7 linked regions of the Cricetulus griseus genome follow. The protein of the gene in region 7 interacts with the protein of the main gene of each other region in a pairwise test. Links are inferred from orthologs where the notes say so. Each region holds a gene or a part of one and is shown on either strand. Other genes may lie near its edges. The genes, in order: melanoma-associated antigen B18, Nudt14, Osgin1, Nadk, Rad51d, Rpia and Lnx1.

Region 1 (2,794 bases), on a different chromosome or scaffold from region 7:
TTAAACTATAATGAAAATATATTTTTACTATGAGAAAAGTTTACAGAGATAAATATTTGTCTTAATTTAAACATTACTTAATAAATAATAAACCCTTGTCTCATACCCTGTAAGTATAATAACACTTATGTTTCCTATATCAGCTTTAATGTAAAAAATATCCAAAATATTAATAAGAAGAGAATTAACAAAACCACACAAAATCTTTACCAAAGCCAGTTTGAGAATTTGCTGACAAACTAGGTAAAAGACGTCCCAATTTATGTCATAAGATATGTCTATTTATACTGAATAGGGTATTATTATTCAGATACCAACCACACTTAAATTGTTTGTGTATTTACTGTCTTACCTGGTGGGAAGGTCGGTCCTGAAGTCAGCAGATTGAGAAAAGCTAGCTCAGCACTTATGGTCATGGTTAGATATTGAATAAGGACTGACAACACTCATATTGTCATCCACGGGAGATGCCGTAAAAAAACTCCTCGTCTGTTGTCTGTTGTGAAACGTATCAGAAATGGCTACTGAATTTAGGCTTTTACTTTAATAGTCAGGACTCTCAATAAAATGAGATTCAGGATCCGAGGCAGGTGGACTCTGCTCATAAGAGTGAAAAATTCAAGTCACAGTGAAAAGGCAAAGAAAAAACTACTAAATTTCTTGGAAGCAACAGCCCTCGGGAGAGTGGTTGATTGACAGAGCCCCCTACTTCCGTCTGCGCCTGCGTGGTTGCTTTTAAAGGACTGTGTGGGCGTGACCGGAAATGGATGTCCGTAATATCCGCTTTTCTTCAACGGCCGTTATTTTCGCGCTGTCTTCGTCGCCAGTGAAGCCGTCGGAGCGTCGTCTGGTGAGGAATTGTAGGAACGTCCTTGTGTCAAGGTATATTCTGGAACATTCTCCCCACAGACCAGAGTCCTTCCCAAAGGGACCTGCTCCAAATTATCCTACCCCTATTTTTTAATTCAGGTGTCTCCAACTACGGCGCTTGTGGCACAGTGCTTCCACTCGGCATTTGGGGACTCAACGTCGATAGAGACAACCTTTAGCAACGGGAGAAACAGTACTGGTCAGGAGGAGAGTTAATATTGTGAGTTGGAACTGAGTTGACAAGGTCTAAATACCCCCTTCCCTTTTGGGTTCCTAAGTCAGTTAACGGGAACCGGGCGAGGTGGCTGTTCATGGAGTAACGAACAGTAGGATCTACCAACAGAGATTGTACAAATTATCTCATCCTCTGTTTTACAGGGTGACCTCTTCCTTAACCTGTTTGCAGTACTATCTGTGTTTCCCCACTAACTACAGTCATCATGCCCCGTGGCCAGAAGAGCAAGCTCCGTGCCCGTGAGAAGCGCCGCCAGGCCCGTGCTAAAAATGCACCAAAGGAAGGAGAGGCCTCTTCAGGTCCTTTCAGTGAGTTTCCAGATCAGGCTGATCCTGATACTGGTATGCCTACACCTCCCAACATGCCACAGGGAGCTCACTATAACTTTACACACACATATGAAAGTACAGGGCCTGAAAACCAAGATGAAAAAAATTCAGATGACTCTGATGAGCTTGAGGCCTGGAGTAAAGATCCTATAAATCGTAAAGTAGTCTTATTGGTGCAGTTCCTGATGGAGAAGTATCACAAGAAGGAGGTTATTACAAAGGCAGATATGCAGAAGTGTGTAGTCAAAACATCAAAAGGTCACTTCAATGAGATCCTAAAGAGAGCCTCAGAGCACATGGAACTGGCCTTTGGTGTTGATCTGAAGGAAGTGGATCCTGTCAGGCACAGTTATGCCCTTTTCAATAAATTAGATCATACCTTTGATGTCATGAGGGGTGAAGAAATAATGCCCAATACTGGCCTATTAATGATGGTGTTGGGTGTGATCTTTAAGAAAAATAACTGTGCCTCTGAAAAGGATGTCTGGGAGGTGCTTAATATGATGGGTGTATATGCTAACCGAAAACACTTCATCTATGGAGACCCTACCAAAGTTATCACTGAAGATTTGGTAAACCTAAAGTACTTGGAGTACCGAAAAGTGCCTGACAGCAATCCTCCATCCTTTGAATTCACATGGGGTTCCAGAGCCCAGGCTGAGATCAGCAAGATGAAAGTCCTGGAGTTTTGGGCCAAGATTCATGATACTACACCAGATGCCTTTGTGCCCTTGTATGAAATAGCTTTGAAAGATGAGGAAGAAAGAGCCCAAGCTAGGTCTGCCGCTAGGGCTCGCACTGCTGCTACGGCCAGTTCACATTCAAAAGCCATGGTTAGCAGCTTCTCCCATGCTAAGTAATAGCTAAGTCTGTTGCCTCACTATTTGTAAAGGTCTGTCAGCTACCTAATAGTGAAGTGCTAATATGGGCTGAGGAGAAAAAGTGCTTATAATATTAGTTTTTCTGTTGTATTCCAGTTTTACCTTTTTCCATCTTTTAGTTCTAGGCTATATTTTCAATATTGAAGTCTGAGGAAGGTTTCCTATGTGGAAATTAAGGATAGTGAACATTTTAAGTAGTATGTGGGCAGCATAGGTCTGAAAGGAGCACATTGAATAACATCATTGCATTCCTATGCCATATTTGTTACTTTAAGTTTCATTTTTATGTTATATTTCAGATGTTTCTATCAGTAGACTTCAATACCTTTAAATGCAAAATTATTAATGAATTTGCTTATACATTTATCGCCCTTTCATAGTTTGAAGCTGTTGTGGGCAGAGAGAGTGAATTTTATTTAGGGGTGTGACCACTGATGAGTTCTCCATGTTCCAGCGAATGAACCCACACCTGTGTCCAT
Region 2 (2,425 bases), on a different chromosome or scaffold from region 7:
TCCTCCCCACGCTTGGTGGCAGCATAGGTCTCTGTAGAACTTTTTGCTCCTGAAATGCCTTTCCTGCCCTTTGCCCAGATTTTCTACCTTACCCTTCCCAGAACACTAGGCTGTCCTGACCTCTGGGGAAACCTCGTCCACCCCCACCTGCTGCCTGCGAGTTCCCATTCCTGATGGGTACAGGCCAGCAGCAGGCCTGCCTGCTGGGAGCTGCTACAGTCAGTCTGTCTGGGCCATGTAGCTCCATGTGTCCTGGCAGCTGCTCACCCTTCCTGATTGCTACCCTGACTGTTTCAGGATGGTGTCCAGAAGTCCTGGGACTTCATGAAGACACATGACAGGTGAGAGGGGCTGGCCCGGCCACTAGGGAAACCCCCATTTCTGCTCTCCTTGGTGTTTTCAGATACTTTCCACCTCAACCTAGTCTCTGGTTCTCATGTCCCTGAGGCCTGGTGGCAGGCTGCCCCTCCTAGGGCTGAAGAGATCTGTTGATCTTACTCCTGAGGATCCAGAGCATGGGAAGTGTGGTTTTGAGGGGTGTGACCGTTGGGAGACTGGCCAGCAGGGGCCTCTACTTTTCCCAGCTGCCCCTTCCCCTGCCCCTGCCCCAGCTGTCTCCCCCTTCCCCTAGTCTGTGAATTGGCCTGACTGTGTGGCCTTCCTGTCTGAGCAATGGACTGACTGTGTGTCGCATCTGAGCAGGGTTCCACCTTTCCTGGGCTGTCAGGGAAAGAGAGGAAGGGGAACTGGGGCTCTGGGGAGAGGGGAGCCTGCCCTTTTACTGAGTTCCATTCCCCCATGCAGTGTGACTGTTCTCATGTTCAACTCTTCTCGAAGAAGCCTGGTGTTAGTGAAGCAGTTCCGGCCAGGTGAGACCAGCTGGGTGGGCAGGGGTTGGGAAGGGGGAATAGCAGGGTGCTTTCAGGCCCTTGGTCCTGAGCTTCTCAGTGCTCATGCATTGGTGGCTTTGGGGGAGACTAAGGTCCAGAAAGATGTGCCTGGCCCAGAGTAGATTACTCTGAGGTGACCGTCATGTGGCCATGCTTCCCCCCCCCCCCAACCAGCTGTATATGCAGGCGAGATGGAACGCCTCTTCCCAGGGTCACTGGCAGCTGTGGACCGGGACCAGCCCCAAGAGCTTAAGCCAGCACTGCCCGGCTCCGTGGGAGTGATGGTGGAACTCTGTGCGGGCATCGTGGACCAGCCTGGGCTCTCACTGGAAGAAGTGGCCTGCAAGGAGGCTTGGGAAGAGTGTGGCTATCACCTGGACCCCGCTGATCTGCGCCAGGTTGCCACATACATGTAAGGAGGCTTGGCAGGGCGGGCTGCTACCAGGTGTGGTCTGCGGGATAAGACGGGCTGTCAGGGAGTGGGTGAGAACCCTGTCCTTGAAGGTGAACAGCACAGGACTGGGAGAAGGTTGACGGACCGTGCCTCAGCAACTAGGCTGCGCGAGACCTGGTGCTTTGGGGCTGGTTCTGGAGTATGCTCAACCCTGTGCCCCTGCCCTGCAGTCCCAGCCATGTGGGGTTGGGCTCTGGGTGGCAGCTGCTGCCGACAGATGCTCTACTTCCTGTGGGATTAAGCACCGGGCGGGCGCTGGGGGTGGGGTGAGTCACAGCTCTGTTCTCAGCCGGTGGTGGCTCAGGAATGAGAGGGAAGGGCAAGTCCTGGGGAGGGGAAGGCGGAGGGACTACCCCTACTGAAGTCCAGGTGCCAGCCACACATGCCTCCCTCAGGCAGGGCTACCTTCCTCAAATGGGAAGCCACCCCTTGCCTCAGGGTGGTGTGTGACCCTTGACCCCTGAGGTCTTAGGGTAGAAAGAGGGTCTTAGGGTGCCTGCCACCCCATGAGGTTGAGCCCACCTTGAACCACGAAGGACCAGAGTCCCTGCCACCTCTCTGCTGGCACGCTCCACACAGCCTCCTGCCTCCGTCTCATGGGACGTCACCCTGTAGCGCCTAGCTGTGGTGGGAGCATGTTGGATCCAGTGTTGACCATTTGCCTCCGAAGGGCTGCTCTGTGCCCTTTTCTGCGCCCTCCGTGTGGACAGCCAGTGATGCCTAGATCCGTCAGTTTCCAACGTGGCAGCCTTTAGGGGAATCTAAGGAGCCTGACCTTCGTAGGAGTTTGGCCAGTGTGTGGAGCAGACAGGGATGGAAGGCAGGAAGGAAGTTAGCCTGGTGGGTGAGGGGTCCTGGCTGGTGGTTGAAGACGGGAACCTTGTCTCCGAGAGATTTCACATGCAAGGTCTCTGGGCTGTGTCCTGACTGAAGGTATGGGGGAGCCAGTGAGAGTCTGGACAGTGGTCACCCTACTCAGACTCATACTCTGAAGGGGAGGGTGTGGCCGTGAGGAAGCTTGACTGAGGGTACGGCTAAGTGAAGGTCAGAGCACCTGTCCCTCTGGGCCTTCCTGGGACTG
Region 3 (4,289 bases), on a different chromosome or scaffold from region 7:
CCTGGGAGGGCGCAGGTGGCTCCCTGCTGTTATTAGAAACCATATGGCCTTCCCATACAGGGCCTAAGAGGATACTGAAGTAGCATGACCAATGGCAGTAATTGTAGCAGCCAACACCAGGCATTGTCAGACTTCCGTAGAGCTGTTGCTACTCAAGGTCCAAGCCCTCTACACACACCAGTTCATGCTTATAATATTTATCTGAGTGGTAAAAGTACTCTTTCGATCACTCCCAATTTACAGATAGAGACTGAGGCTGGAGACCTTTGCTTCAAGGAGCCTATCCTACATCTAGTCAGGGGGACTGGACTTGTACCGGGCCATCTCATTCCAGAACCTTTTCTGTGCTCCTGCAAGTGTAGGGGCCAGAGACTCATCATGCACTGTGTGGTTGTACCCAATGGCCTGCTGCAGGGTCAGTCTCTCACTGACCGTGCAGCTATGGTCAGAGCCTTGGGCATTCAGGCTGCAGTTCCTGGAAGGCAATCCCCTCCCAAGTGCACCCGAGGAACATCAAAGGGCCTGGGCTTTCTCCCTCCTGCCTCTGCTATCCCCAGGAACAGCAGCAACCCACTTCTCAGATGAGGAGACTGAGGTTTCAGGGGAAAAGTCATGCCCCCAAAGCTTCAGAACAAGCAGTTAACAGAACTGAAAATTGATCCCTGTGGGCAGAACCCTACTAGACATTCCAACACTCCTAAAAAGAGCATGCCAAGTATCCCTGGAGACCTGAGGTGCCAACCCTTTCCTTCATTGTAATACCCCAGCATACAACTCCTCACTGGTGCCAGCAGGAGGCCCTGTCCACACAGGCCAGATCCAAGGGGATGCCCAAGTTGCTTCACAGGAAGTAGGATGGGCTAATACTTTGGAGGACTTTGCACTCCAAGACCAGGCCCCTTTCCCAGCACAGCTGGCAGAGGCTTCACCTGGAGCTGCTGGATGCCATACACATGAGGTCACCACCAGGCCCCGGCCCCCCGTCCCCCCCAGGTCACATCCTCCAAGCTGCTCACCCTCACAACCACCCACAAACATTAGCTACACATTTATAAAGCAAAACAACTTCTCTGCACTTCAGCTCCACTCTCTGGCTGTATTTTGTAGAGTTGGAATAAGCCTCCTGGTTTGTTTGAGACAGGGTCTCCTGCAGCCAAGGGTGGCTTTAAACTACACCAAGCCTCTGATGGCCTACAACTCTTGATCCTCCTGCCAGCACCTCCCAAGTGCTCAGATTACAGGAGCGAGTCCCCCACCCTGAAGTTTAGAACAGCCCCTTTTTGATGTCCCTCTGGTAGGGCAATAGTGACATAAAAGTTAACACGATGAATTGCTGGTGTGGGTGGCCAGGGAGATGGCTCAGTGGGTACAGTGCCTGCCTCACAGTGCAAGGACCTGAGTTAGGATCCCTTGTGCCCCTGTAAAAAGCAAATGTCTATAATCCCAGGTCTGGAGGGAAGCGGCCTGGAGACAACTGGCTGGCTAGCTGAATCAATGGGCTCCAGGTTCAGTCCAGGAGAGCCAGGGAAATGGCCCAACAGGTAACTTGTTACATAAGGGTGGTGACCTGATTTGATCCCTAGGACTCAATAAAGATGGGAGGAGAAACTGACTCCTGACCCCTAAGGGTGACTGACTGACCCCCCAACACACTTTCTCTATTAAAAAAAAAAAAAGATTAAAAATAAGGTGTCTCCCATCTAAGTACTAACCATGGCCAGCCTGGTCTACAAAGTGAGTTCCAGGACAGCCAGGGCTACACAGAGAAACCCTGTCTTGAATAAACAAAGATAAAGAAATAAATAATAAAGAAAAAGAAAGTGGACAGCGATTGAGGAAGTTGCTAGGCATCAACCTCTGACCTCCACAGGTATGAGCACATGCACCATGCACATAAAAATGAAAAGCAGAATTTCTCATAAGTGTCAATAACTGCCCTGGTGTAACACCACAGATATTTCTGAGGTTATGAAATTGTCACACTGGGGAGGGCTGGGGCCTTGTACCATTTGCCTCTAAGATACTCAAGAGCTGGGGTTTCTTATCCCCACTACACAGAGAAAGAAACTGAGGTAGGGTAGAGGAAGGCATCTTGTCTAGGTCTCAGACAGCCTAGTTTGGTCCCCTTCCCCTCCATTCCCAAACAAAGCAACAAGTAACAGTGACAGCTGCTAGTGACACAAAGTCCTGGGGCGTGAGGAAGTGCGCAGTCAGCCAAGTATTACCCGGCCTTAGTCACAATGAACACTTATTTCAAGTGCCTGCCCCACCTGAGCCCAAGGATTCCTGATGCCCCACCTCCAAGCACCTTCCATAAGCTTAGTGCCCAGACCCCTGGGCTGTGCCCATCTGTGCCTGACACACAGGGCACAGCACCCACTGGACTATAGACATGGTGGCCATGGATCAAGGCTATTCACACTTCTTCCTGCCAGAACAGCTACTCCATGGGCTGGATGAGGCTGTTGGGGAGAGTGGCCCAGGCACCTGGACATGGACATGGCTGGGAGGAGCAGGGAGGAATCCCAGAGTCCTGCTCAGGACCAAGTTACTTACTGCCCTGCTGCCCTGTCTGGCTTCCCTTTCCCCACAGCTATCACTTCCCACCCACAGCCTTGCCCAGGCCACTCACCTGATGGGCAGTAGCTGGAGGGAGTTGGTGAACCTGGGTTGGCAGGACACTCAGAGGAACTTGGTCAGGGTTTGGGACTTGGTCACGGTGACTGACTGCAGGAACAGGATGTCCATTAGCCCTGGAGATCCCAGAGGCTGTGAGAGGCCCAAGGCTAGCAGGGGTATTTCACTGCAGGGCTGGGAGGAGGCGGAGGCAGGGGCGGGGCCAGGAAAATCACTTTCATAAGCATGAGTCAGCAGGGGCCCCTGGGTGAATGAACTTGCCCCTGGCCAGCCTTAAAGGGCCCCTGCTGGTCAGCCCCCCTTTTTAGGCTCGATCTGAAGGAGGAACTGTGACCCTTGGGAGAGATCACCTGGTCTCTTCCCTATGGGAACAACTTTGCCATGTGCAATTGAAATGACTGGCCTGCTGGCCCCTGAAGTACCTTATGCAGCTGTTCCACCAGGCTTCCACCCCAGCTTGTGGGGAGGGGGGCAGAAAAAAAGCCACCAGGCACCAGCCTGACCCCTGGTAATCCCCACTCTGTAACTTCTTGGTTGGAGGCTCTGGACAAACCTCAGTTTCCCTATCTGAAAAACGGGGTTGAGCTTGATTCCTTCCTGGGCTGGGGTGTGTGGGCCAGAGGATTGTGTGGTATCTCCCTGGTCCTCATAGACTTCCCTTCCTGTAGAGGAGCGGGGAGGGGTCACACCATCTGCTAAACTGTTCTTGAGTTTGCTGAATGGAAGCTTGGTCCTGGGGTGGCACTGTTTGCTGCCTACTAGGTCTGGGACAGCACTCTCCACAAAGGTGTTCAGTATTTGCTCCAACAGAAGGAAGTTGGGTAGGGGTTTAGGTCACTGTCAACCTTGGTGACCATTACCTGTTCCTGTCATTATCAGCTGTCACCCTCATGGTCCTCTCTGCCACCAGGGCAAGGACTGGGGGGTGGGTGTCAGGCTCTTGCTCTAAGAACCAACACTAAGAGGGACTCCACACACTAACCAAGAAAGTGACGCTTAGATGCAATTTTCTAAAAAAAAAAAAATGAAGAAAATTTAAAAAAGATGAATACAAACGCCAGATAAAGAACCCTTCAAAGACCCTGTAAAGAAAGACAGGGTCCTTAGGCCCACCTTGTGGAGCAGCCTCCAGCTGGGAGAATCTTGGCTACTAGCACACATTTTTATTTAAAAATTTAATATTTTGTTTTTCCTGGCTTAAAAAAATTATTATTTAAAATGCTGCATATAGGCCTGGGGAAATAGTTCAGTAGAGCCAGTGCCTAGCATTGCATGAGGCCCTAGGTTCAAGCCCTAGTACCATTAAAAAAAAAAAAAAAAAAAAAAATCCTTCCACAAAACCCTGCTTGCATTCATATGCATATGTTCAAACCTGGGCTCAGGCTGGGAGATGGCTCAGTGGCAGAACACTGCCTAGCATGCTCAAAGCCCTGGATTCAATCCCCAGTACTGCTACACACACACAAACACACACACACACACACTCACACACACACACACATCCCTACCTCACACCACACACACGCGCACACACACACCACACACATTCACACACATCTGAGCCCTAGTTTGCACTAACAGTCTTAATAGGAGAGTCTGTTCCCCAAGGAGTACATGGTGCCAAACCACCATCTGGCAGAGGGGCACCTCTT
Region 4 (3,500 bases), on a different chromosome or scaffold from region 7:
CTCTGTCTGGATTAAAAGTGTTTGTCACCAGGCCCAGCTACTTCTCTTCTCTGATGGCAAAATACAGTTATTTCCTTATTAAGCATGGCTTGTGTTGAGTGCGTGCTTGTAGCACATTCTCCATCCAGGCTCCTCGTTTTTGACTCATCAGGTTGGTCTATGGGCTTGTGAAAGATTGTCATGACTGTTGATGTAGGAGGAACCAGCCCATTGTGAGTGGTACCATAACCTGTCCAGCTGTTCCTGGGTGGTGAGTGGCTTTACTCCATGGCTCCTACAGGGCTTTGCTATGACTTCCCTCAGTGATGGCCTGTGAACTAGATATGTAAGCTAAGTAAATCTGTTCCTCTCTTAAGTGCTTTTGTCAATGTTTATCACAGCAACCGAAAAGAAGCTAAGACCCAGTTCTTCCAGTCACTTAAATGAAACTAGTTGATTAAAATGTAACCCTGACTGGACTGGAATTCACAGAGCTCTGCTTGTCTCTGCTAGTTTTGTTTGTTTGTTGAGACAGGGTCTCTATTTTGTAGCCCTGGCTGTCCTAGAATTCTCTTTAGACCAGGATGACTTCATACTCAGAGATCCTGCCTCTGCCTCCTGGCTTCATGGGCTTTCGTCCCCATGCCTAGCCTTTGTAGTTTTGTTTTAAAGACAGGAGTCTAGTTGTAGCCATGACTGGCCTGGATCTGATTGTCCCCGCTGCCTCCCTAGGGGTGGGATTAAAGGCATGTACCACCACTACCAGGCCAGCTCGTTTTATTCCATTTCGAGTTTTGTTAGTTCACTACCACTCATCCTCAGAAAATCTAGCTCAGTTCTAGGGGAGTAAAAATAAACTTTGTGTTTGCCTGGTTTCACTGTCTGGATGTTGCCCAAGAGGCTTCCCATGCTGACTTTGGCCCAGAGTGGTCTGGGAGAATGTTTCAAAATTCCAAGTGGAGAGAGGCTTTTTTTTTTTCTTCCTTTGTCTCCCCCCCCCCCACGAATTTTATTGAGCCATGGTCAGAATTGTGCACCTTCAAGACATTTGGGACTTGAAGTTGTCTTGGAAGGTTATTACAGTTCAGTTCTGATGACTTTCTTTGGTACTGACTGACCTTGTAGACTTTGTAGGGGTGCACCCCAGCACATACCTGCTCTTCAACTGTTAGAGAATGAAAAGTATATTATTGTGCTGCTCTCTACACCACAACTTTATGTTTTGATCTTAATTATTTGGCCACAAAGGCTGCTGTGTGTTGCTCTGTGTCCATCCTTCCAGAGACCCTTTTATCTAACTGGGTTATTTTGTCCTTACTTTCCCCTATCTTTAGATTGGTTCAGAAACACCAGTGAGGGGTGAAGGCACATCTTAGTCATAGAGCACTTAGCTGGAATGTGCTAGGCACCGGGTGCAGTCTCTGGCACTGAAGAAAAATGACAAGAAAGATTCTGAGTTCTTAGCTGTCTTTAGGGTGAAAGTAGCATATTATTTAAGAAGTTTGGAAAACCAAAACCTGGCAGTTTTTTCCTGTTGCATGTGACTTTTCTTAGGGAGTCTGTTTTGGTTTTTGTTTGTTTGCTTTTGTTTTGTTTTGTTGGTTTTTCAAGACAGGGTTTGTGTAGCTTTGGAACCTGTCCTGGAACTTGCTCTGTAGACCAGGCTGGCCTCACACCCACAGAGATCCATCCCCCTGCCTCTGCCCCTTGGGTGCTGGGAATAAAAAGGCATGCACCACCACCCAGCAGGAGTCTGTTTTCTGTTCACCCAGATAGAGAAGGTGTTGATAAATGATCAACCAAGTTCAACAGTTTATTGAGGTTACTTACTGGATCCTGGGTGACTCAGACAGCTGTATCAGTAGAGTCTTTTCCCAGTAGTGTTATATCTTCAGGGAAGTGAGGGGCTTCAAGAATTTCCCTCATCCTTCCACAAGGAATATCCCGAGGGTCTTATGGGAGCAAGACTACAGTTGTTCAGATAATCACAACCAACATTTCCTTGGATAGACTGAGTGTTTATTCCTGCTGCCCACATACATTGACTTTTTTTATTTTATCAAATTAAGGCATCGGTGTTTTTCTCATATCAACTATGGAAATGGAACAAGAAAAGATGAATGTGAGGAAGGAGTTGAGCCCTGATTCAGCCTCATACCACTGCTCAGCATGTCATGGGGATGAGACCTGGAGCTACAATCATCCTATCAGAGGCCGGGCCAAGTCTCGGAGCCTGTCAGCCTCACCTGCCCTGGGCAGCACCAAGGAGTTCAGGTAGGACCAGAAGTATTCGTTCTCCTCTCGTGCCATGGTGGGACATGTTAAGATTCTTGCAGAGGACACAGCCTGTATCAGTGTAGTTTAGCATTGCTGAAGTGTGAGTTTTGTCCACAGGGTGGGGCTGGGCACTGCCCAAGTGGTGCTGACCTTAGCAGAGGGATCAAACACTGTCCACGAGATTTGTGCTGGGCACTTGTTACCAACTGGCATGTGCCAAATATAGGCTACATCATGTTTTTCTTTCTTCCTCAGCATAGAACCACCCAGCCAGAACCGTGCTGACCTTCGGTTAGGCTGGTAGGAAAGCATGATTGTGCTCAGGAATGAAAGAAAGAAGTGCTGGTGGGACAGAGGTACCATGTGACCTGGAGCTTTCAGCTCCTCACACACAGGCCACGGGGTCTCAAGTGCAGGTTGTATGGCACTGCCTCCCTTTGCTGCAACATAAAGCCTCAGGGGAAGGTCACCTGACAAGCATGGGACTCCACGCACATCAGGAGGTGTTCTCTCTCCTGGTGACAATCACTGTTAAGTTTTAGATGGAAGCTTGCCAGAGACTGCCACTGACTGCAGAACAAGGGTCACAGCTGTGAAATGTGAAGACAGGCTCTATAGTGAGGAGCCACTTTAAAACCATTCATGGAGTCTTTTCTATGAGATATAATGATCTCACAGAGCTCCTACCTGGTAGCAGTGGAGGAACAAGGAACAGGGGCAGCTTCAGGTTCTATGTAGAAAGTTCTTTGTGTGAGAGATGGCTACAGTGAGGCCAAGTGGCCAGTACCTTTGCTCTGGGTACACAGCTGATCACGCACTGTCCTCTCTTGCTTGTGCCTTCACCACTATGTTTGTACCCTGCCAGCTTTGGGCAGAATTGCCTTAGCTGCTGGTTTGTGTGGGTTTTGGCATAACATTTTTTTTTTTTTGGTTCCAGGGACATTGAACCTGTGAAAGTGACTGTAGGTCAGGACAGCTTCTGTAGTTGATGGCTGATGCCATGGGGCAGCATGGGGATAAGCAAATTTGCCCCTGCCATCTGTCCTTCAAGGAGGATAGAGGGAGTACCTGCTGACTCTTGTCCTTTGCAAGCCCTAAATTTCCTGCCTGGTAGCCTTTAAGTTCCTACAAAAGTTGATATTTGTGATATTCTGTATAACTTTTTAAAGACTTATGTAAATAACCCAAGCTTGGTGATTCATACTTGTAATCTTAGAACTTCAAAGGCTGAGGTGGGAAGAACA
Region 5 (3,500 bases), on a different chromosome or scaffold from region 7:
TTTTTTGAGACAGGGTTTCAGGGTTTCTCTGTGGCTTTGGAGGCTGTCCTGGAACTAGCTCTTGTAGACCAGGCTAGTCTCAAACTCACAGACATCCACCTGCCTCTGCCTCCTGAGTGCTGGGACTAAAGGCGTGCGCCACCACCGCCCAGTGACAAGAGATTTCTTTCAGACAGGGTGTAGGTATGAAAAGTTGGCTCACAACCACCCAGGGCATCTGATACCTCTTGTCTCCAGAGGCCCCTCACAGATTTTTTTAAATTTATTTTTATTCTATGTGCATTGGTGTTTTGTCTGCATGCATGTCTGTGTGAGGGTGTCAGATCTTGGAGTTACAGACAGTTGTGAGCTGCCATGTAGGCGCTACTCTGGAAGAGTAGTCATTGCTCTTAACTGCTGAGCCATCTCTCCAGTCCCCAGTTTTTTTTAGTATGTTCTTTGGCTCAAACTAAGGACCTCATGCTTGGAAGGCAAGCACTTTTATTGACCAAGCCCTCATGCCAGCCTAACCTGGATGGAGTTTTTAAACTCTGTTCAGAAGCAGGATCTAAGTCTAGAGTCTCTCACTGTGTTGCTGATGCTGTTGGAGAACACACCAAGAAGAGCTGCTATGATGGACCTGGGCTTCTGGTGTCTCAGGGAGAATGGGATTCAGAAGCAGAGGCTGGAGACCTATTAAGTAGAGGCTTATTAAACACACCCAGGATGTACACAGAAGCCACAGAGCTGGAGTAAGGACCAGATTTTGACAGGCAGGAGCCTGTGGTCCCTGGAGTTAAAATAGGTGGAGTGGTGACTGGTTGCTGCTTGTCATGTGCTGATATGTCATGGTTGGTCATCAAGAACCTCTTCAGAGGCCTGCAGTGCAGTCTTTGACTATATTTGCCGAGTTAGGAAGGGAGGTGTATGACAGTCAGGCATTGATCCAGGCTGCCTGCCACACAGAAACTTTAGCCCACCCCCACCCCCACCCCCGTCCTGGGCAGCACATGGAGAGTAGTGGTAACTTGTTTTCATGTTGGTTGGGGACAGGAGTGAGGTTAGGAAGTGACCATGTTTTGAAGTTCATCTCAAGGATTCCACAGCCTGAGTTTTGACATTCAAGCCACTGTTCTTGTCATTTCTTCAGTAACATTTACTGTGTGCCTTCAGGGTTTTCGGCTCTGTGCTAATACTGGAGACAAAACAAGGATAAAGACCCAGTCTTTGCCCCCCCCCCCCCCGGGATGCTCCTACCAGATGAGGGAGGCAGACAAAAACAAGCAAATAAAAAATAATTACAAACTCCCAGAACTAATAATCGAGTTTAGCAAGGTCTGGGGATACAAGATCAACACGTAAAAATCAATTGCATTTCGGTAAACTCACAATGAACATTTGAAAACTGAAATTAAAAACGCAATGCCATTTGCTGCCACATCTAAGGAAATGAAATACATAGGTCTAAGTCTGACAAAGACCATGTAGAATTTGTATGCTGAAAATAAAAAATGCTGATGAAGAAGATCAAAGGTGAATCAAATAAATGGAGAGACTTTCTGTGCTCATGAATTACAAGATTCTACAATAGTGAATGCCAACGCTCCCCAACCTCCAACCTCCTTCCTGACCTGCCACCCATACTAGAGATTGAACTCAGGGTTTGCATATAATAAGCAACTACTCTACCATTAAGCTTTTATATATATATATATATATACTATATATATAATATATATATATATATATTTTTTTTTTTTTTTTTTTTTTTTTTTGGGTCAGGTCTCATGTTGCTATTGCCCCAGTCCAAATTTATCTGCAGATTTTTGTTTTTGTTTTTCGAGACAGGGTTTCTCTGTGTAGCTTTGGAGCCTATCCTGGCACTCCCTCTGTAGACCAGGCTGGCCTCGAACTCACAGAGATGCTCCTGCCTCTGCTTCCCAAGTGCTGGGATTAAAGGTGTGCTCCACCAATGCCCGGCCTTATCTGCAGACTTAATACAGCTTCTTCTCTCCTTTCTTTTTCCATCCCCTTCCAACCATCAGCCTGGACAAACTACTTGATGCTGGCCTCTATACAGGGGAGGTGACTGAAATTGTAGGAGGTCCAGGTAGCGGAAAAACCCAGGTACCCTTGGAGCCAACAGAGGGGAGGGTTGGGGGAGGTGGGTGCATTGACCTGGATTCCTCAGGGAGTTCTTGCATGTGTCTCTGTGTTGTTGGAAGGTCAGAACAGACCACATAGGGGCTGAGAATGAGTGTGGCCTTAGCCAGTGTATGTTGTTGGAATCTGGGCAGGATTCAGTGGAGAAGCTGCCTGGTGAGATCCTCTTCTCCAAGGGCTTAGGTTTACTCAGTTCCCTATCTTGTCTCTGAAAGGTGTGCCTGTGTGTGGCTGCAAATGTGGCCCATAGCCTGCAGCAGAATGTACTGTATGTTGATTCCAGTGGAGGAATGACAGCATCCCGCCTCCTGCAGCTACTACAGGCTAGAACCCAAGATGAGGAGAAACAGGTAGGGGGCAAGATGGCTGGGTTCCTTTAAAATCCTCATGTTAGAAGACTTCATGACTACATTGTAAGAATATACACCATCTATGAGAATCATCATTTCTTACTTTGAAACTGGAGCGTCCTCTGCATTCCTAGAGCTGCTCATGTTAATGTCATCATCCCAGCTTGGATGCCACCCACACTGATTCTCCAGGAACTTCCAAGTCCTCGAGTACCATAAATCAGAGGCGGCAAAGGCCTGTATCTGTGTTTCCAGCCCATTTCTTGCCAGGGCAGGCATCACTAATCAATCATATCTGTCCTTCCTGCTGGATCCTGAATGTCTTACAGCTCAGCACCCAGGTAGTCACCACTGTGAGATCCAGCCCATTAGGCAAAACCCATTTGCCATTCCGATGCCAGCACTGTGTCTAAGTGCCTCTTTGCTTTTGCAGCTTTGTGATTACATTTATTGCTTTCCGGGATCTCCTTTCCAAGTCCCTGCTTCTCTGTCCCACCCCTCAGGCAGGTGCTCTCCAGAGGATACAGGTGGTGCATGTATTTGACATCTTCCAGATGCTGGATATGCTACAGGACCTTCGGGGCTCCATGGCCCAGCAGGTGAGCCTGCTCATCTGCCTGTTTCTGCTTTACCCATCTGGCCAGGTGTTGTCTGTATTGGGCCAGGTGTCCTACAGACTCTACTTGGATTGCATGTGTCCAGTGTTACAGCTCCAGCTGTGTTTGCCACCCCCCATCCCTCCACCCCTGCCTGCCTGAGCCTCAGGTGGAATTCCTTGGTGCTTAATTCATAATTCATGTGCTTCATTGTTTACAGGCTCACCAGCCCTGTACAACAGTGAGCTCCTTGAGTACAGAATTATATTGTCTTCATCTCTGCATTACTCACTGAAATCAATTAGGAAAACTCTCTCTCTCTCTCTCTCTCTCTCTCTCTCTCTCTCTCTCTCTCTCTCTGTCTCCGTGTGTGTGTGTGTGTGTGTGTGTGTGTGTGTGTGTGTGTGTGTGT
Region 6 (4,191 bases), on a different chromosome or scaffold from region 7:
CTGAACAGCACTTGTATACCTGCTTTTGGTGGCTCCTAATGGTGACTGAAGAACTTTCCCCTCCTTTTTTGGTAAAGGAGTCTATCAAGTGGTCCCTGAGTGTACTGGGCAGGATTACACTCTGATAAGATAAAACTCAGGCTGGAAAAGTTGCAAATAGGTGTTGCAACTTACCTTTATTGTTCCTAGGGGTTCTTGGAAAATTCTAGTTAGGGGTGTGGTGGCACACGCCTTTAATCCCAGCACTTTGAAAGCAGAGGCAGGCAGATCTCTGCAAGTTCAAGGCCAGTCTGGTCTACAGAGTGCCAGGACTGGCTCCAAAGCTACACAGAGAAACCCTGTCTGGAAAACCCCAAAACCAACAAAAAGAGCTCCCAGCTCTATTTGATGACATACTCATGTAATCCAAGCTCAGAATGTCCAAGTTCCAGGCCAGTTTGGGCTACACAGTGAGTACAGGCTAGTGAGGCTGTAGAAAGAGATTAAGAACTTCCAAGTGTTCAGTAAGGCTTAGCACCAGTTTCCAGCTTGTAAAAGGTGGTGATAAGAATTCTTCACCCTTACATTGCAGCAAACTAAAGGCAGAGGAGGCCCAAAGGTTTGAGTTTTAAAATTCCTCATCATCAAGAACTGCGGGATCTCTAGAGGGCACACTGGCCTGTGTGAACACCCAGGCTCCGTCTACACACCATGCCATCCAATACCAACAGCAGAACAATAATCCAAGGCTACCGACTGAACTTGTGGTCTTGGGTTTGTGAAGGTCTAGCAGACTTCAGAAGGCCTGGGAGTCTCAAGTGTATGTCACCAAGGAGCCAATCTTGTTGTGAGGTGAGGTGGCTCAGCCAGTTAAGTACTGACATAGGTGTTCAATTCCCACTACCCAAGTTGTCAGATAATGGACTCCTGCAAGTTGTCCTCTATGACCCACACAAGCCTGCACTCAAGCACACAAAGTACAACTTAAGTAATAAAATGCAATTACACAAAAAAGTTGTGTTGTTAGAACTTGAGTTTCTGGGGAAAACAAAGTCAGGTTTTCAACAGGTCTCTCCTTTTTTTTTTTTTTTTTTTTTTTTTTTTTGCACTGTTTTTTGAATGCGTGTACAGCCAGAAAAGTTCTCGGAGTTCACCTGACGGTGTAAACACTTTACCTCAGGGCAGACAGTTGTTGGTTTTCTAGACAGCTGCTATCCTGACCTTCCGGACAGAAAGGCGGGAGTCAAGGCGGGCGATTTGCTCGCTAGGTCGCACGCATTGTGGGGCTTGTAGTCCAGATTGCCTCAAGGCTTGAGGCCGCTGACTCCTCGGGACTACATTTCCCAGCAGCATGCGCTCAGCAATGCGCGCGGATTAGGTTGCTCGAGCGAGCCGATTTCCGGAGGCGCGGGGGGCGGGGCGGCCGCAGAGGCTGGAGCGAGGTGGCGGGATGCAGCGCCCCGGGCCCTTCAGCACCCTCTACGGGCGGGTCCTGGCCCCACTGCCCGGGCGGGCCGGGGGCGCGGCCTCGGGCGGGGGCGGGAACAACTGGGGCCTCTCGGGCTCCCATGTGCAACTGCCGGGGCGTGCACAGTCTGAGACCCACGGCCACAAGGGAGGCTCGAGCGCGGGCGGCCCAGCCCCCTCCACGATGTCCAAGGCCGAGGAGGCTAAGAAGCTGGCGAGCCACACGGCGGTGGAGAACCACGTGAAGGTGGGCAGCTTGTGGCGGCGTGATGGCTTCGTGCTGCGCCTGACGCCTGACGCCTGAAAGGGAGGGGGGCGGCAGCAGGAGAGGGAGAGGGTGAGCCTTGTATCCGAATACACGCTGCTCTTCCCAACCCCTGAAAGGCCTTGTAGACGTCGAATTGGTAGGTGCCAACTCTCCCCCAAATAGAGCCCCCCACCCCACCAAGATTTCCTGTCCGGCTGCAACTGAGTGTACCGAGGAGCCTGGCATTACCCTGTTGAGAGTCTGTCAGGTTGTTAATGCCTGCCTCCTTCCTAGTCAGCCCATTGAAAATGGTGAGCCCTGAGGCTGCCTCGAGTTCTTCACTTCTCATTCTCCGGAAAGCCACTGGAGAACTGGTTTGCAAAGAGTTTTTGAAATTTTACTCCAAACAAGCTTTTCAGCTCCTCCTGCTTGGGAACTTGAGTGCAATCTTTACAAAGAAGCCATCAAGTTAAGCCTTGCTGTTGACAGGGCCGGGTGGACACGACACCTGGAAGTGGTGTTCTTCAGGTGGAGTCCAGATGTTTAACAGTTACTCAGTCAGGTTGCGTCCCCATTTGGCTTGTTAAGTGGCAGGTGTGGTGCTATGAGTGGACTCTCAGTGTAGCAGGTTAATTATCTTAACTGTATTATTTCTGCAGCCCTGTGGTGGAGTTTCCTGGTCTCGGTTTCTGCTTCTTAGATAGGGTTATCAGAATCCATTTCTGCATAAAAGGAAGTTTTTTTTTTTTTTTCCATTTGCTAGTGTTATGCTGCACAAAGCTGCTTTGCAAAGATGATGTTCTTAGAGATTTTTCTAACTTCCTGCCATGCGTGAGGGCGGCCTGAGTGGGTGGGTCCGGGTCTGATAACCTCTGGCTCAGTCTGTTCTACACCACTCTTGTTTCAGGCAGGGTTTCTATGCTCTTCTGTTCTGGTGTAGCTCTTTGCTCCTTTAGTTTGCATAGGATTTTATACTCGATTTAAGAGGGTGTAGGGTATATGAGTATGAACGTAAAATGAGTGATTTGGCTTTGTGTTTGGAATTTGGTGCCACAGCTGTAAAACTGGAACGTAAAGTGAAATTTCAAAATACCTTCATGAAGTGACTTAACAGATTGGTAAATGCAATCTATACCTTAGGAGAGCCCCTTATCTAAGCTATCGTTTAACGTTTAGTGGCACATGTCTCCCTGACCTTTGTTTTATAGTTACGTATTTGATTAAACTAAAATCTGCAAGCTTTCATCTCATGTTAGAGTCCCCAAACACTGGATTCTAGCTATACTCAAAGAATTACCAGAGAATCCTTGGGAGATCTCTATTGAATTTTGGGAATGTCTTCAAATAGGGTTGTTTGTCCTGTAGGGTTTGATTCAAAGGTCTTTACTATTTCCAGTTTTCCCTTGGCTTCCTAAGGACACTAGAAGATAATTTCCTCTTCCTATTTGGAGACTCAGGCTGACTAGCAGCTTGCCAGGAACTTGATATGTGAACCACGCTGGCCTTGAGTGCTGGGATTAAAGGTGTGCACCACCACATACCTAGATGCTCTGATTCTACCGCCTAAGTGCTGGCATTATAGGTATGTGGTGCTACACTCAGCTTCCTTCAATTGTTTATGACTCCAGACACTTGTGACCTATGCTCTAGTCCTCTGTGCATTTCTCTTGCCTAACTCCCCATGAGCTCTGGGAGGAGACTTATCGTTATCTGCACATTCAGTGTTGGGTACAGTGAGACCTGCTTAGGCAATGTTCATTGGGTTGTGTAGAGTGTGAACACTGATATGGTGGTTGTGGGTTATGGAGGCCCTTTTCCTAGGCTCTCTGAGTTTGGGGTTTCCAGTCTCCCCAATCTCCGCTGACTGTTTCTACTTCAGAGTAGATGGAAAACTCAGAATTCTCAGTTGAATCTTTGCAACCAGGTCCAGACCTGCCTGATTCTAAAAATGTAGTTATCTTGGATGTGTTACTGTGCTGTCCTCATGGCCTGTTGCTTCATCCTTTGCTCTTTGTGAGGCCTCGGCTTTGTTTTGAGATCAGCTTAGCTTGAGGAAACTAGTGAGCAGACACTAGTATTAATATTATTATTAGTAGTAACATTGGTAGTTTGTTTTTTGAGACAGTCTCACTAGATAGCCCTGGTTGCTGTGGAATTCACTATGTAGACTAGGCTGGCCCTCAGACTCTCAAGAGATTTGCCTGCCACTAACTCTCAAATGCTGGAATTAAAGGTGTGGACCACCACACCTATCGAATTCTGTGTTTTCAGTCTGATAAAAGCCTGTTTTACTAACACACTGTTCCAGACTCATCACATATCCCGCCCCTCCCCCCAACCCACCAGAGCCAATCTCATAGATTTTTGAGATCACCCCATTGGACACTATACTGTTTAGGACTGCCCATTAGAAGGGCTGTCAGCTGTTGGGCTAGTTTGCAGGCAGCCCTTGGCCACTTCTAGTTGGACTAGGGCACAGACTCCTGCCTCTGTCATTT
Region 7 (4,216 bases):
GAGTAAATAAAGTTCCTGGGACTTTAACTTCCAACTCCAAAGAGTGTTTTGGAAGGTGTCAAAAGAGCCAGATCTTGAAGTTAAAATCCTGCTCTCTCTCTCTCTCTCTCTCTCTCTCTCTCTCTCTCTCTCTCTCTGTGTGTGTGTGTGTGTCTGTGTGTGTGGTGTTAGTGGTTGTTTAGCTGTGTGACTTTGGGCTACTTGCCTAACCTCTCTGGATCATTTTCCTTATCTGTGAACTAGGAATGACAACCCTTCTTCTCAGCATTCTTATGACATATGCATGATTTAGAGCATTAGCTGGTACTGAAGAGCTGTTCTTCTTCTTAATGCTGTTATTTTACTGTATAGTTTAATAAAAACCAGATGTGGTACACGCCTGCAAGCCCAAGACTCTCAAGAGGCACAGGTAGGTGGATCACTGTAAGTTTGAGGTCAGTTTTAGACTAGTAAGTTTTAGAGTAACCAAGACTGCAAAGTGAGACCCTCTCTCACAAAACATTAATTTAACCTAAAAGCTTCAATATCAAATAAAAAACAAAGGTGGAAAACAGTGTCTCCTCAGCTCAACTTACACTGGGGAAGATATAAATCATACATGAACTAATATACAATAACTTCCTTTCTGTGGCTTCATAGGTCAACAAGGGCATTTGGAACAAGTTGAGTGACCTCTACATGCCTCAGTATACTTTCCTGAAAACAAAGATACAATGACAGTGAACCATCCTGAGAGCCACACCAATGAGATGCCAGTGACCTTGAAATGTGCCCCAGGCACATGATGATTAAATGAGAAAAGGCACATAGAACCCTTAGGGTGTCTCCTGTATAGATGTGACAAGGATACAGTACATGCCAGCCTGTCACAGATGCTTTGCAAGGGCCCACAAGATAGGTCAGTGGCTCAAGGCACTTGGTGATTGGAGTTCCAGCCTCAGGTCCCACATGGTGAAAGAACACCAACCCTCACAGGTTGTCCTTTGACCTCCACATGCACTGTGACCCATGAGTACACATGTATGTGGGCAGGTACACCCATCTCCACCCACCCACAATAAACAAATGAACAAAGAAAATTAAAGCAATGAATCAAAACAAAGGAATTAACTTGATGCTTATCAATCTCTACAGAACTCATGGTAACTTTTTCTGTTTCAAAAGAAGACTCTATAGCGCCGTGTTGTGAGAATGACAATGATGTGTTTCCCCTCATTTGTGTAGAAAGATGACAAAGAAGACAGTTTCAGTCCTTACTCAGGTGGAGAGGCTAATTAAGGTTAAAAACCAATGCTGTACCCTTGGGAAGGGAGGGGTCACAGAGGGTGGGTGGTGGTCAGGCTGTCACCATCCCTGAAGTGACTCTGGAAACCCAGTCTGTGGCCAGCCTGGGGATGGGGGTGGGGATTCTGTTTACCTTCAGGGACAGTGGCATTCTCAGAGTTCTCCCTGCCCTGGTCAGCACGGTTGGCAACAGCACTCCCACTCTTTGTCCTTCGAAGAACACTCAGAGCTCTGTTAATCTTTTTGAAAGATCGGCTTCTCATAGTGGACCTCTCAAAGGGCCTCGCTGAGGAGAGATGTAACAGAGACAGGAGTTACAGGTTCACAGCCACCATCCTTTAGGCAAGTGCGCTGATATGTGCCTGTAATCCTAGCACTCATGGGGTTGGACAGGAAACTCAGGAAGTCAAAGCTAGCCAGGCACACAGTGAGACTTTGCCTCAAAACAAAAAAGTGACAACAACAACAAAGAAATATTTTATGTATAAAATACATGAAATGGGACAATACTATTAAAATAGTGATTGCCTCTTAGTGGTAAGAGTTTATCTACCTGCACTTGTAATTTTTTTTGTAATGAAAAACATATCCTATTTATGTAAAATCTTTTCTCCCCCTTTAGGTGAGAGTGAATGTAATAACACTTTTAAAGTAGGCAGGGGAGGTCCCCACATGTCAGGAACCATAATTCATCAGGCCTCACCTCAACCGCCTTCACCAAGTCAGATTACACAGCAGTGAAGATTTGAGCACTCACAGTTCCATTTTACTTTGGAGAACTGGACGGAGTGGCTGCCAAAACTACCAGAACCATTTCCCCTTTTGCAAAAACATTTCTAGAACTTTCCGCAGTGAGTATTCTACAGAGGGCAATCCCAGGGAAAACCAAGAGCCTATTCACAGACACCCACCCATTTGACTCACCCCTAGTTCGGTTGCTCCGGCCGGAGTCTGAGGAGTTGGTTACTGGCTCACCATCCTCCACTGTGGACACATAGGCAGGGTTGTCTAAGCCAGGCTCATCGGTCATTAAAGAGATGGTGGCAGCTGCAGAAACTTCTGGGGAGAGTGGCATTGCTGTGAGGCTGGCACAGCCATCAGTGCAGCCATCTTGTGAGCGCCTTTTCCGGTCCTTGGTCAGGCCATAGTGGGAGGCACCTTTGCAGCTGGAACAAACCCAAAGGGGCAGTTAGAATGTTTAGTAGGGTTCCAATACACACATCTGTCCCTGTACACCCCTCCCTTTTCACACATACTAATTCAATATATGCTTGCCAGCCAGATACATAAATGACTTGAGATAATAATTTTTAAAATTGCCTATTACGTTCTACTAGCATAATCTCCACATTGGCTGCTGAACAGTAGGAAATTAAATCTACCTGACTGGGGTGTGAGGATGGAGGCCTCTAGCATTTGGACTTGGCAGTTGCTTCTAACTGGTATCTATTTTGACTACGAAAGCCTGTCATCACATTCTCACTCCTTTCTTTTGGGTTTGGTTCCACAGCACTGGACATAAATGTACGAGGCCACTCCCAGATCCTGTATTTAGCTGACCATGGAAACAGAATTGCCCTTGCCACAAAGCCACAAGGTTTACTCAGAACTGCTATTCTCTAGGGGTAGGCGTGGTGGCTTCCATTCCTGTCCCATTCCTGTCCCATTCCTAGGGCTGGTAGGGCCTCCCATGCTTTTCAGAGGGACCAACACCAGGGGCTCTCACACACTGGAAAATGCTGCATCACCAACATTGGGAGAGAAAAACATCTTTGATAGTTTATTTATTTATTATTATTAACAAAAGAAACTTCTTCTGTGCATTTCCTTCTGTCTATCCATCTTACCATTTCACTAAAAAACAAACTTTGTAAAGTAGACCAGTCCTTGCTACAATAGGGAAGGGAAAGGATGCCCAGGGCGCATAAGACCAATGTTTGAGCCAATTTAGATCCTTATTTTTTCACGAACACATTTCATTGCCACTAGGCTAGTCATTTCAGTTCACTGACAAAGGTTCTGGCCAGGAACTGGGGATGTTTTGTACTGCTGGAGAAGGTAGCCAGATGACACAACTGCTGTTCCAACAGAAATCTTACTAATGAACTCCTTCAAGTGGCCATTTGCCTAACACAGTCTGCTCACTATGTATTGGGTATTCTTATCAGTTTATTACACAAACTCCATATCAGTGGTTCTCAACCTGTGGCTCACAAGCCCTTTGGGGGTTGAACGACTCTTTCACAGGGGTGGCCTAAGACCATCGGAAAATTCAGATATTTACATTATGACTCATAATTTATTTAGGACTTATAATTGCAGTTATGAAATAGCAACAAAATAATTTTATGGCTGGGGTCTGCACACCATGAGAAAAGGGTTGCAACATTAGGAAGGTTGAAAATTGCTGCTGTATATGATTGAAATTTTATTTTCTATTTACTTGCTTATTTTTTTAACATCTGTGTGTGTGTGTGTGTGTGTGTGTGTGTGAGAGAGAGAGAGAGAGAGAGAGAGAGAGAGAGAGACAGAGACAGAGACAGAGACAGAGACAGAGACAGAGAGAGAGAGAGTTCACATAAAAGTCAGGGAATAACTTGTGAGAGCTATTTCTCACCTTCTACCATTTGGGTTCTAGGGAGGGATCCAACTCAGGTCTTCAGGCCTGTCAGCAAGTGCCATTATCTGTTAGACCATCTCTGTGGCTTTCTTTTATTTTTATTTTATTCTTTTTTAAAGAAAGCACAGTAGCCACACTGTGATGGGGATATTTAAAATGCACATTTGTTTATTTATTTAGGTTTTCTGGAACAGGCTCTTGCTATGTGGTCGAGGCTGGCCTGGAACTCACCATCTTCCTACTGCAGCCTACTGTGGGGGTGCACTGCTGCACCCAACTGAATAAACATTTGTAAAGTCACTTGAGTCATGT

Evidence for each region.
Region 1: the proteins of Lnx1 (region 7) and melanoma-associated antigen B18 interact in binary tests that used the Homo sapiens proteins (3 or more experiments, as listed by UniProt). The link is inferred for Cricetulus griseus from reciprocal best matches to the Homo sapiens genes LNX1 and MAGEB18.
Region 2: the proteins of Lnx1 (region 7) and Nudt14 interact in binary tests that used the Homo sapiens proteins (3 or more experiments, as listed by UniProt). The two-hybrid records come from large-scale screens. The link is inferred for Cricetulus griseus from reciprocal best matches to the Homo sapiens genes LNX1 and NUDT14.
Region 3: the proteins of Lnx1 (region 7) and Osgin1 interact in binary tests that used the Homo sapiens proteins (3 or more experiments, as listed by UniProt). The two-hybrid records come from large-scale screens. The link is inferred for Cricetulus griseus from reciprocal best matches to the Homo sapiens genes LNX1 and OSGIN1.
Region 4: the proteins of Lnx1 (region 7) and Nadk interact in binary tests that used the Homo sapiens proteins (3 or more experiments, as listed by UniProt). The link is inferred for Cricetulus griseus from reciprocal best matches to the Homo sapiens genes LNX1 and NADK.
Region 5: the proteins of Lnx1 (region 7) and Rad51d interact in binary tests that used the Homo sapiens proteins (3 or more experiments, as listed by UniProt). The two-hybrid records come from large-scale screens. The link is inferred for Cricetulus griseus from reciprocal best matches to the Homo sapiens genes LNX1 and RAD51D.
Region 6: the proteins of Lnx1 (region 7) and Rpia interact in binary tests that used the Homo sapiens proteins (3 or more experiments, as listed by UniProt). The link is inferred for Cricetulus griseus from reciprocal best matches to the Homo sapiens genes LNX1 and RPIA.

Annotation. Positions count from the first base shown.
Region 1 is NC_048604.1:77,629,013-77,631,806, forward strand, and holds melanoma-associated antigen B18, read left to right. Parts: upstream 1-1,310; coding exon 1,311-2,294; downstream 2,295-2,794. UniProt on the Homo sapiens protein: May enhance ubiquitin ligase activity of RING-type zinc finger-containing E3 ubiquitin-protein ligases. Proposed to act through recruitment and/or stabilization of the Ubl-conjugating enzyme (E2) at the E3:substrate complex.
Region 2 is NC_048598.1:181,118,283-181,120,707, forward strand, and holds part of Nudt14 (uridine diphosphate glucose pyrophosphatase NUDT14), read left to right. Parts: intron 1-297; coding exon 298-341; intron 342-804; coding exon 805-869; intron 870-1,064; coding exon 1,065-1,302; intron 1,303-2,425. UniProt on the Homo sapiens protein: Hydrolyzes UDP-glucose to glucose 1-phosphate and UMP and ADP-ribose to ribose 5-phosphate and AMP. The physiological substrate is probably UDP-glucose. Poor activity on other substrates such as ADP-glucose, CDP-glucose, GDP-glucose and GDP-mannose.
Region 3 is NC_048596.1:196,070,363-196,074,651, reverse strand, and holds the start of Osgin1 (oxidative stress-induced growth inhibitor 1), read right to left. Parts: upstream 2,801-4,289; 5' UTR 2,633-2,800; intron 1-2,632. UniProt on the Homo sapiens protein: Monooxygenase catalytic activity. Involved in regulation of cytokinesis; promotes RHOA activity, probably acting locally at the midbody in late cytokinesis.
Region 4 is NC_048595.1:739,966-743,465, reverse strand, and holds part of Nadk (NAD kinase), read left to right. Parts: intron 1-2,048; 5' UTR 2,049-2,074; coding exon 2,075-2,253; intron 2,254-3,500.
Region 5 is NC_048600.1:96,305,149-96,308,648, reverse strand, and holds part of Rad51d (DNA repair protein RAD51 homolog 4), read left to right. Parts: intron 1-2,024; coding exon 2,025-2,106; intron 2,107-2,357; coding exon 2,358-2,492; intron 2,493-2,995; coding exon 2,996-3,091; intron 3,092-3,500. UniProt on the Homo sapiens protein: Involved in the homologous recombination repair (HRR) pathway of double-stranded DNA breaks arising during DNA replication or induced by DNA-damaging agents. Bind to single-stranded DNA (ssDNA) and has DNA-dependent ATPase activity.
Region 6 is NC_048601.1:62,432,077-62,436,267, reverse strand, and holds the start of Rpia (ribose-5-phosphate isomerase), read left to right. Parts: upstream 1-1,391; 5' UTR 1,392-1,429; coding exon 1,430-1,693; intron 1,694-4,191. UniProt on the Homo sapiens protein: Catalyzes the reversible conversion of ribose-5-phosphate to ribulose 5-phosphate and participates in the first step of the non-oxidative branch of the pentose phosphate pathway.
Region 7 is NW_023276807.1:141,138,860-141,143,075, forward strand, and holds the start of Lnx1 (E3 ubiquitin-protein ligase LNX), read right to left. Parts: upstream 2,801-4,216; 5' UTR 2,667-2,800; intron 2,451-2,666; 5' UTR 2,360-2,450; coding exon 2,209-2,359; intron 1,571-2,208; coding exon 1,418-1,570; intron 1-1,417.